Oryctolagus cuniculus: one gene and its partner. The protein of the gene in region 1 purifies or fractionates together with the protein of each later gene. This does not show direct contact. Links are inferred from orthologs where the notes say so. Each region holds a gene or a part of one and is shown in the gene's direction. Other genes may lie near its edges.

Region 1 (3,559 bases):
GGGCGTGGCCGGGAGGCAGGGGCACCCCCTGGGAGGGGCGTGGCCGGGAGGCAGGGGCACCCCCTGGGAGGGGCATGGCCAGGAGGCAGGGGCACCCCCTGGGAGGGGCGTGGCCAGGAGGCAGGGGCACCCCCCTGGGAGGGGTGTGGCCGGGAGGCAGGGGCACCCCCAGGAGGGATGCTCTCTTCCCTCCCAGCAGCCCTGGGCTGCCCCTCTGACCAGGAGGAGCGCTCACTTCCTGGCTCCCCTGGGTGCGGGGCCGAGGGGAACGATGTGTCTCTGGTACCCAGCTCGAAGGCTGCATCAGAGGCGAGAGGCAGAGCGTGCCCTTGGACTCTTGCACAAAGGAGGAGGCTCACTGGACCATCCAGAGGTGCAGCGGCCCCGTCACCCTGCACTACAAGGTCAACCAGGAAGGTGAGGCCCGAGCCCTGCAGCACTGGCTCCTCACAGGGGCAGCCCTGACCCTGGACAGGTGACCTCGCCCTCCAGGTCTCTACCTGCTCCCCACTCCCCCAGGGTGTCCTGGGCTGTCTGGTGGGCCAGGTGGACACCACGCCCCCAGCCACAAGGGCAGCGTTGGAGGCGGCAGCCCAGGCCACGCTCCCGAGTGGGCAGGGGCACAGCCTTCCCTCGCTGTGTGTGTGAAGTGTGCTCCCTCCCTCTGGCTCCCAGCCCAGTTCAGGGTGTTCCAGGCAGCGTGGCTGCTGAGTCGCATCGTGGCCCCAGCAGGTTTTCATATCAAAGCCCCTCTCTCAGTTGGAACTCCGGCGGGCAGCAGGCCCTGAGCTCTGTTTTCGCCGTCTCAGGTCCAAGTCCCCCTCCTCCCCTCTGGTTTTCCCGCGTGGGTCTCTCTGCAGCTGCGTCTGACTTTGCAACACAGCCCCGTGAATGTTTCAGCAGAGCGCACAGCCGCTGCCCTGCGCCGCCCGCGTGCGCCCCTCCTGCACTGCCCCGCTGTGGCACCCTGGCCCCTGCCCCCGGGCCTGGCCCTCCCACCCTGCAGAAAGTCTGAGCGAGGCTCTGTGCCCCGGGCAGCGGGGCCCGGCATTGTGCAGCACAGCGCTGCCTTCAGGAGTTCCCAGGAAAGTTCTCTCTAGCGGTGGGGATCTCGGGTGAGCCCAGCTAGGGGGCTGGAGGGGGGTGGGTGCACCCGGCAAAGGCTGGACTCCCGAAGCACCAGCGGGAAGCTGGGAGCGTCCCCCTGCAGGCCGACGTGACCCTGGGTGTGTGGGTGAGCGGCTCGGCCCCCTCTGAGCCCATCTGCCCCTGTGTGATGCGGATGCCGCCTGTGTGAGGGACCTGTGACTGTGCGGTCACGGCCAGCTTGCTGCGTCCCGAGTATTCCGAGCACCTGTCTGACTTCCTTCCAAAGCATTTGCAAAAATCTGCTCAAAAGGACTGTGGTGTTGAAGTCAGGGAACACAGCATGGGCTGCGGTCCCGGTGTCCCACGGAAACCGTCCGGCGGCATCTACGCAGACTGCAGAGAGACGCCGCCCCACGGGGCGCAGACGCCCGATCACCCGGACACCCGGGAAAGCAGACTCCACAGCTCACAGGCCCTTAGCATGATGCTCCTCACCTGCGCACCCGCCCCCCCCAGCCTTCTCTGGTACCTGCTACAGCATAGGTGCCGGGAGTAACAACAGGAGGGAGACTACGCATTAGTACAGGTGCAGGCTTGCACGTTTTCCTTACTAAGATTTATTTATTTAAGAGTTACACGGAGGAGAGGTAAAGAGAGAGAGGTCTTCCATCCACTATTTCACTCCCCATATGGCCACGACAGCCAGAGCTGGGCCAATCTGAAGCCAGGAGCCTCCTCCAGGTCTCCCACGTGGGTGCAGGGGCCCAAGGATTTGGGCCATCTTCTGCTTTCCCAGGTCATAGCAGAGAGCTGGATCAGAAGTGGAGCAGCCGGGATTCGAACTGGTGCCCATATCTGGCGTCCATACGGGATACTTTACCCACTACGCCACAGCACCGGCCCCTTTCCTGACATTTTTAATCCTGGGTTGAACCTGTGAGTGTGAAGCCACGGCAGAGCTGGCTGTGTGTGGTTAGCTGTGCCCTCGGTGAGCAGCGAGTGCCTGCCCACTCGGGAGCAGGCAAAGAGCGCTCGCTGCAAGCTGTTCATAGCTATGCACCCGGGGCACGCAGTAGCCCAGAGGAGGATTGGGGGTGCCCACCAGCACACTGTGGCGTCATGCACAGCCCTCCTGGACAGGCCTGTCTCTGGGGTGGCACACAGCCCCCTGTGGCTATGGCAGCCTGGGTACAGGCCACCCTGGGGGAGGAGGCATTGACAGCAAGCACCCCGCCATGGCGCCCCGCCAGTGTACATCGTGAAAGTTCGCTGAGCCGAAGGCTGGGGAATCTATGCCGTTCACCGTATTCCGAGTTTAGCCTCCATGTGGACAAACAAAGCACGTGGGCTGGCCGTGCAGAAGGCAGGGAGGTGGGGCAGGAATGCCTGCGAGGGGCGTCGTGGCAACTCAGCTTGGAGCTTCCTGGCAGCCAGGGTGAAAAGGAGAGCTTGTCAATGGCATAGCCAGCCGTTCACCGGGAAGAAACCTTTCCACTGGCCATGAGCTCAGCAGTGGACAGTGCGGGCAGCTGTCGAGGGGGTGGTGAGCACATGTGCTTGCTTGGAGGTGCCCTCACGGCCAGGGGCCCACGCCTGTAGGGGTCTGGCTGGCGTTTGGAATGGCTCTTCCCTGCGCAGGGTACCGACGGCTGCTCAAGGACATGGAGGAGGGTCTGATCACATCCGGCGACTCCTTCTACATCCGCCTGAACCTGAACATCTCGAGCCAGCTGGACGCCTGCTCCATGTCCCTCAAGTGTGACGACATCGTGCACGTGCGCGACACCATGTACCAGGACAGGCACGAGTGGCTGTGTGCGCGCGTCGACCCGTTCACCGACCACGACCTGGACATGGGCACCATCCCCAGCTACAGCCGGTGAGGCCAGGCTGCCCGCGTCAGCACAGGGGCCCGCGCCTCTGCTGGCTGACAGTGAGGCCCCCGGGACGCAGCTCCGTCCCTTCACTGAGCTCTTCAGCCTAGCGCAGCGTGGCCCTCCACCGCACACCCTTCCCTGCCTGCTGGTCGCCTGTTCTCTGTAGTCCGTGTCTGTCTGTCACACCCGCACACGCACACGCACACGCACACACAGAGGAAGCGGAGCCTGGGCAGGGGGTAGGCACCGGCACAGGTGTCCCGAGGGCGTCTGTACACCAAAGCCGTGACACAGGCGAGACCAGGGTGAACACGGGCAGGCTGGACTCCCAGATGAGGCCGGCAGCACTGGGGGCAGACACAGGCAGCTGAGGGCCCTCCCGGCACGCGCCCAGCCCCTGCTCGGCCCCGGGGCCCCGTCATAGCCCCTCAGGCGCCTCCCCTCTTGCCCCTCAGGGCCCAGCAGCTCCTCCTGGTGAAGCTGCAGCGCCTGATGCACCGCGGGGCCCGGGAGGAGGCAGACGGCGGCCACCACACCCTCAGGACGCTCCGGGTAGGTCGGCTGCACGGCTGCACGGCTCTGCGACGGCCCTG
Region 2 (4,251 bases), on another chromosome or scaffold:
AATGCCTGTGGCAAAGAAACTGAGTAACTTGAGGTCCTAAACTTGAATCGAACGGGTTTTCTTGGATCCAGGTGTCACGCTCTTAGCAATTACACTGCATTCTGAACTCTGAACTGTTACTGCCTGCGCAGGAACGTGACGTGTGGAGCACCAACCTTGCTAATGGTAGTGACAATTTGAGTGTCCACATTATTGCTGTAGAAAATTCTGTGGCCTTGGGTAATGAAAACGCTAATGACAGGTGGGTGTTTAGCCTCGCCATGCCCCACAGTGCAGTACCTGGGTTAACTTTTCGGCTGCAGCTGCCAATTCCAGCTTTGTGGTAATGTATACCCTGTAAGGTAGCAGGTGATGGCTCAAGTTAGCCTATTACTAAAAAAAGAAAAAAAAAAAAGATGCCACCCGTGGATTGAGTTCCCAGCTCTGGCTTTAGCCAGGCCCTGCCCAGGCTCTTGTGGGCATTTGGGCATGCCATTTCTCTCTCTCTCCCCCCCCCTTTTGAGGAAAAAATGGAGGGTGGGGGTGCTAGTGGCACGAGACACTGGCCCAGAAACCCTTGCACCAGGGGCCACTTGTCTGGCCACGGTTCTTAAGTTACTTCCTTGTGTCAATGGGACGATGTCTTTGGATGCTGCGAAGACAGGGGAAAAGAACCCGGGGATGGACTTCGTCTACTCCGGAGGGTACCACGGAAGGGTCGGCTCTGATCACGAAGCCTGTGGATGGCAGCCTGACCCAGAAACACCATCTGCGAGGTCTTCAACGTGCCTCAGCTCAAGTGTTAAATACACACGGAGGGCAGTGGAGGATGGCCCAGGTGCTTGGCCCCTGCACCCGCATGGGAGACCAGGAGGAAGCACCTGGCTTCTGGCTTCGGATCAGCGCAGTGTGCCGGCCGTAGCGGCCATTTGGGGAGTGAACCAACAGAAGGAAGATCTTTCTCTCTGTTTCTCTCTCCCTCTCTCTGTAACTCTACCTGTCAAATAAATAAATAAAAAATATTAAAAAAAAATACACATGGAAGCCCCGGCTGGGATCTCGGGACTACGTCCCTTTCGCAACGCCACACGCAACTGAGCCAAGCAAGCGGCCCCAGAGGCTGCCCGGAGCAGGGCGGCGGCGCGGTCAGGGGCCGCGGAGGTCGAGCGCTCCCCGCGCTGCGTGAGGCAAGCCTCCTCCCACGGCCGCGGGAAGCCCCGACGCCGCAGGCTTCCTCGCCGAGCCAGAGCCACCGGCGCGCAGTTCCTCCGCCGCTTCCTCCTCCAGCTGCAGCCACCGGCCCCTTCCTGCTCAGCAGCGGTTTGAAGCTCGCGCGGCCGCGGCTCCGAGGCGGCGGGGGAGGCGCGCGGCCGCGCGCACGCGCACTGGGCGGGCTGCCCCCGAGGCCCCGCCCCTCGGTGCGGCTGGCGCGCCGGCGGCTGCCCCGGGTCTCCGGGCAAACTTGCCTCAGCCAGGCGGGGAGCGGAGCTTCCTCCCTGCCGGTCCTTCCGCCCCCTGCCTCCGCGGCTCCGAGGCGAGCGAGGGGGCGAGCGGAAGGTGCGCGGAAGCCCAGAGCCGCGACGTGGCCGGCGGGAGCTGCGGCAGTCGGGGTCGCCGGCGCGGGCCATGTCGCTGTGGGGGGAGCCGCTGCAGGCCCCGCCGCCCCCGGCCTCGCAGCCGCTTCTCGCCGCGCCCTCGGGGCCGCCGTTGGCTCCTCTGGCCGGCGCGACCCTCAACCGCCTGCGGGAGCCGCTGCTGCGGAGGCTCAGCGAGAGCCTGGACCGGGCGCCCGAGGGCCGGGGCTGGAGGAGGCTGGCCGAGGTGGCGGGCAGTCGGGGGCGCCTGCGGCTCAGGTGAGCCCGGGGCGAGCGCGGCGGGCGCGAGGCGGAGAGGAGGGGGCGTCAGGGAGCGCTCGGCCCCCGCAGAGCCCCGCGAACGTCGGGGGCTGGAGCGGGGACCCCTGGCTAGGGAAGGGAGAGGCAGCGGGGACCCCGCGGCTGCTGGCGATGGAGGAGAAGTGGGGGTCGGCCGCCGAGGCTGTGGCGAGGGGAGAGCTGGCCCCGGGCCGCTGAGGAGGGGCGGAGAGGGTTCCGGGCAGGACGGGGCTGCAGGAATCCGCGCAGGCTGGGAGGGCGAGAGAGAAGGAAGCAGGGCAAGACCAGCGCGCCGTCTTCCTGCACCGAACCGGGTTACGGAGGGCGCTGCTGGTCTCCGGCGAGAGCCTGTGGTCCCGATCCGGCCTGGAAGGCCCGCTCGGCCGTGCTGGAAGGTTTTGGTCTCAGGACCGCTTTGGAGGAGCCCAGAGAGCTTTTACGGGGGGTTATATGTGACATAGGTATGGTATACAGTGATATTTCAGCTGAAATTTAAACCGAGACGTCTTCCAAATGTTTAACTTTTTACCATTGAGGCAAATGATATTTCTGGGTAAAAAAAAAAAACGAACTTGTCTAAAACAAAATAATTAATTCAAAAATTTGCATTCGTTTACATTTTAAAAAGCCCTTTAAAGCTCTGACTTAATCCCAAGAACTGGCTGCTTTTAGGGGCTTCTGCATTTCGGTTCGTTGCTGTAATGCATGTAGGAAACACTGGAAGCTCCAGTATGCGGTCCTGAGACAATGAATGGAAGGGGTAGATAAGGTCTTACAATTACCCGGAAAAATCCTCGTGACCTGTGGACCCGCTCGAATTGTGATAGGCAGCCCCAGACCACTACTCTATACCGTTGCTAGGATTTCATTCTGCCTTTTTAACTCCTTAGTGGTTTTTTTGTACTTCTCAAATGACTAGACTTTGTCTTGTACCATAGTTATTTAGACACTTCTCTGAAAATTCCTTAAGAACAAGGAGACATCTCTTAATATCCTGTTTTATACGTTGAACCTTTCTTAGACAATAAATACTTGCTGAATCCTCAGTGGAGTCCTTCATTCAGGATTTTCTTTATGGAGTGCCTGTTATTCAGCTGTAAGTCCCAGAAGAGAAAAAAAAGTTAACAAATACTTAATTGCTAATCATAAAGATTGATCTAATAATGAACTGTTATTTGGGGATGTTCACAAATAACATACTCAGTGTTGAGCCGGATATGAATGGAGGTAATGTGTTTTATCGTTTACGGAGCACACAGTGTATACCAGACTGTGCTGAGTGTTTCCATGCGTTACCTACTTTAAGCCTCCACCAACGAGTTTCAGAGTTTGAGACTGAAGCAGAGAGTAATGATGTAGGGGATTGTTGCCCATATGGAAGAGTAATGATGTGAGGAAGGGATCAAGAAGTGAGCAGGCGCAAAGCCAGGCAGACAGGTGACATCATTTTTTCTGAAATAGGAAACATTGGACTTCAGCTATGCAAAGAAAATCCAAAATACTATTATCCTAGGTCCGTAGATTTCTGAATTTCTGTAATTACCGTAATGCAGAAAGTTATCTTCTTTGGAGGCAGATTTCCAGAGTCTTACGATGTTAACTAGCACGAGGGATGGCTCTAGGTTTCTGAAGAGAGCCTGGTATTTTGTATTTGGCCATGCAGGAGAGAGAAGAACGTTAGCAAGCCCTGCCAGGAAGTGTGGCTGGTGGAACCCGAAAATTGTGGATAACGTGATGTCGTGTGCTCTGCTTTCCTCCCCAAGCCTTCAGTCAGGCTTTGGGACAGGCTGCAGACGATGCTAGCCAGCATTCAGAAAGGACTGAGGCCGCTTTGCTGGGGTTCAAATTGGGGGGGGGGGGGTCAGTTGCCTAGCAAGAGGTGACCAGCACCCGAGGGCCTGCTGTTGTGGAACCTGAGAATTCAGGGTGAGACTTCCACAAGAGACAAGTGAGTCTTACCAGTGTTCCAGGATGGTGGAGGCTAGTTCCAAGGAAGTTAGTTGGGATGGAGAGGGTTGAAGAATTTAACAGTAAGCTCATACCTCTTGAGATCAGAAGATTTAAGAAGGTTAGCACTGGACAGTGACAACAGAGGGGCCAGGTGTCAGGTGGTGATTTCTGATTCTGTGTAAGGCAAAAAGTTATTTTAACGTGACATCATACTGATGGGAGGAGAGGGTCTGTGATGGCAGATCAAGGAGCTGTTTTTCTCTAGTGCCAAGCAGAAATTGCATTGCAGCTTAGTCCAGGTGGGTAACAAGTCCTAGGAGGACATGAAGTGCTTTCCTCAGAGTCGCTGGATTCTCAGCCTTAATATCTCAGAAGGTTGTGTTTCTGGTTGTTGTTTTGTTTTGTTTTTTTCCTGCCTCCTTACAAGGTGTACAAACTAGAAAATAAT

The links. The genes of interacting proteins can lie anywhere in the genome.
Region 2: the proteins of CARD11 (region 1) and MALT1 purify together in Homo sapiens (affinity purification with western blotting; 6 studies listed by BioGRID and IntAct, with this or other methods). This does not show direct contact. The link is inferred for Oryctolagus cuniculus from reciprocal best matches to the Homo sapiens genes CARD11 and MALT1.

What each region holds. Positions count from the first base shown.
Region 1 is NC_091450.1:37,591,586-37,595,144, reverse strand, and holds part of CARD11 (caspase recruitment domain-containing protein 11), read left to right. Parts: intron 1-290; coding exon 291-417; intron 418-2,727; coding exon 2,728-2,968; intron 2,969-3,421; coding exon 3,422-3,518; intron 3,519-3,559. UniProt on the Homo sapiens protein: Adapter protein that plays a key role in adaptive immune response by transducing the activation of NF-kappa-B downstream of T-cell receptor (TCR) and B-cell receptor (BCR) engagement.
Region 2 is NC_091441.1:19,750,949-19,755,199, reverse strand, and holds the start of MALT1 (mucosa-associated lymphoid tissue lymphoma translocation protein 1), read left to right. Parts: upstream 1-1,449; 5' UTR 1,450-1,605; coding exon 1,606-1,832; intron 1,833-4,251. UniProt on the Homo sapiens protein: Protease that enhances BCL10-induced activation: acts via formation of CBM complexes that channel adaptive and innate immune signaling downstream of CARD domain-containing proteins (CARD9, CARD11 and CARD14) to activate NF-kappa-B and MAP kinase p38 pathways which stimulate expression of genes encoding pro-inflammatory cytokines and chemokines.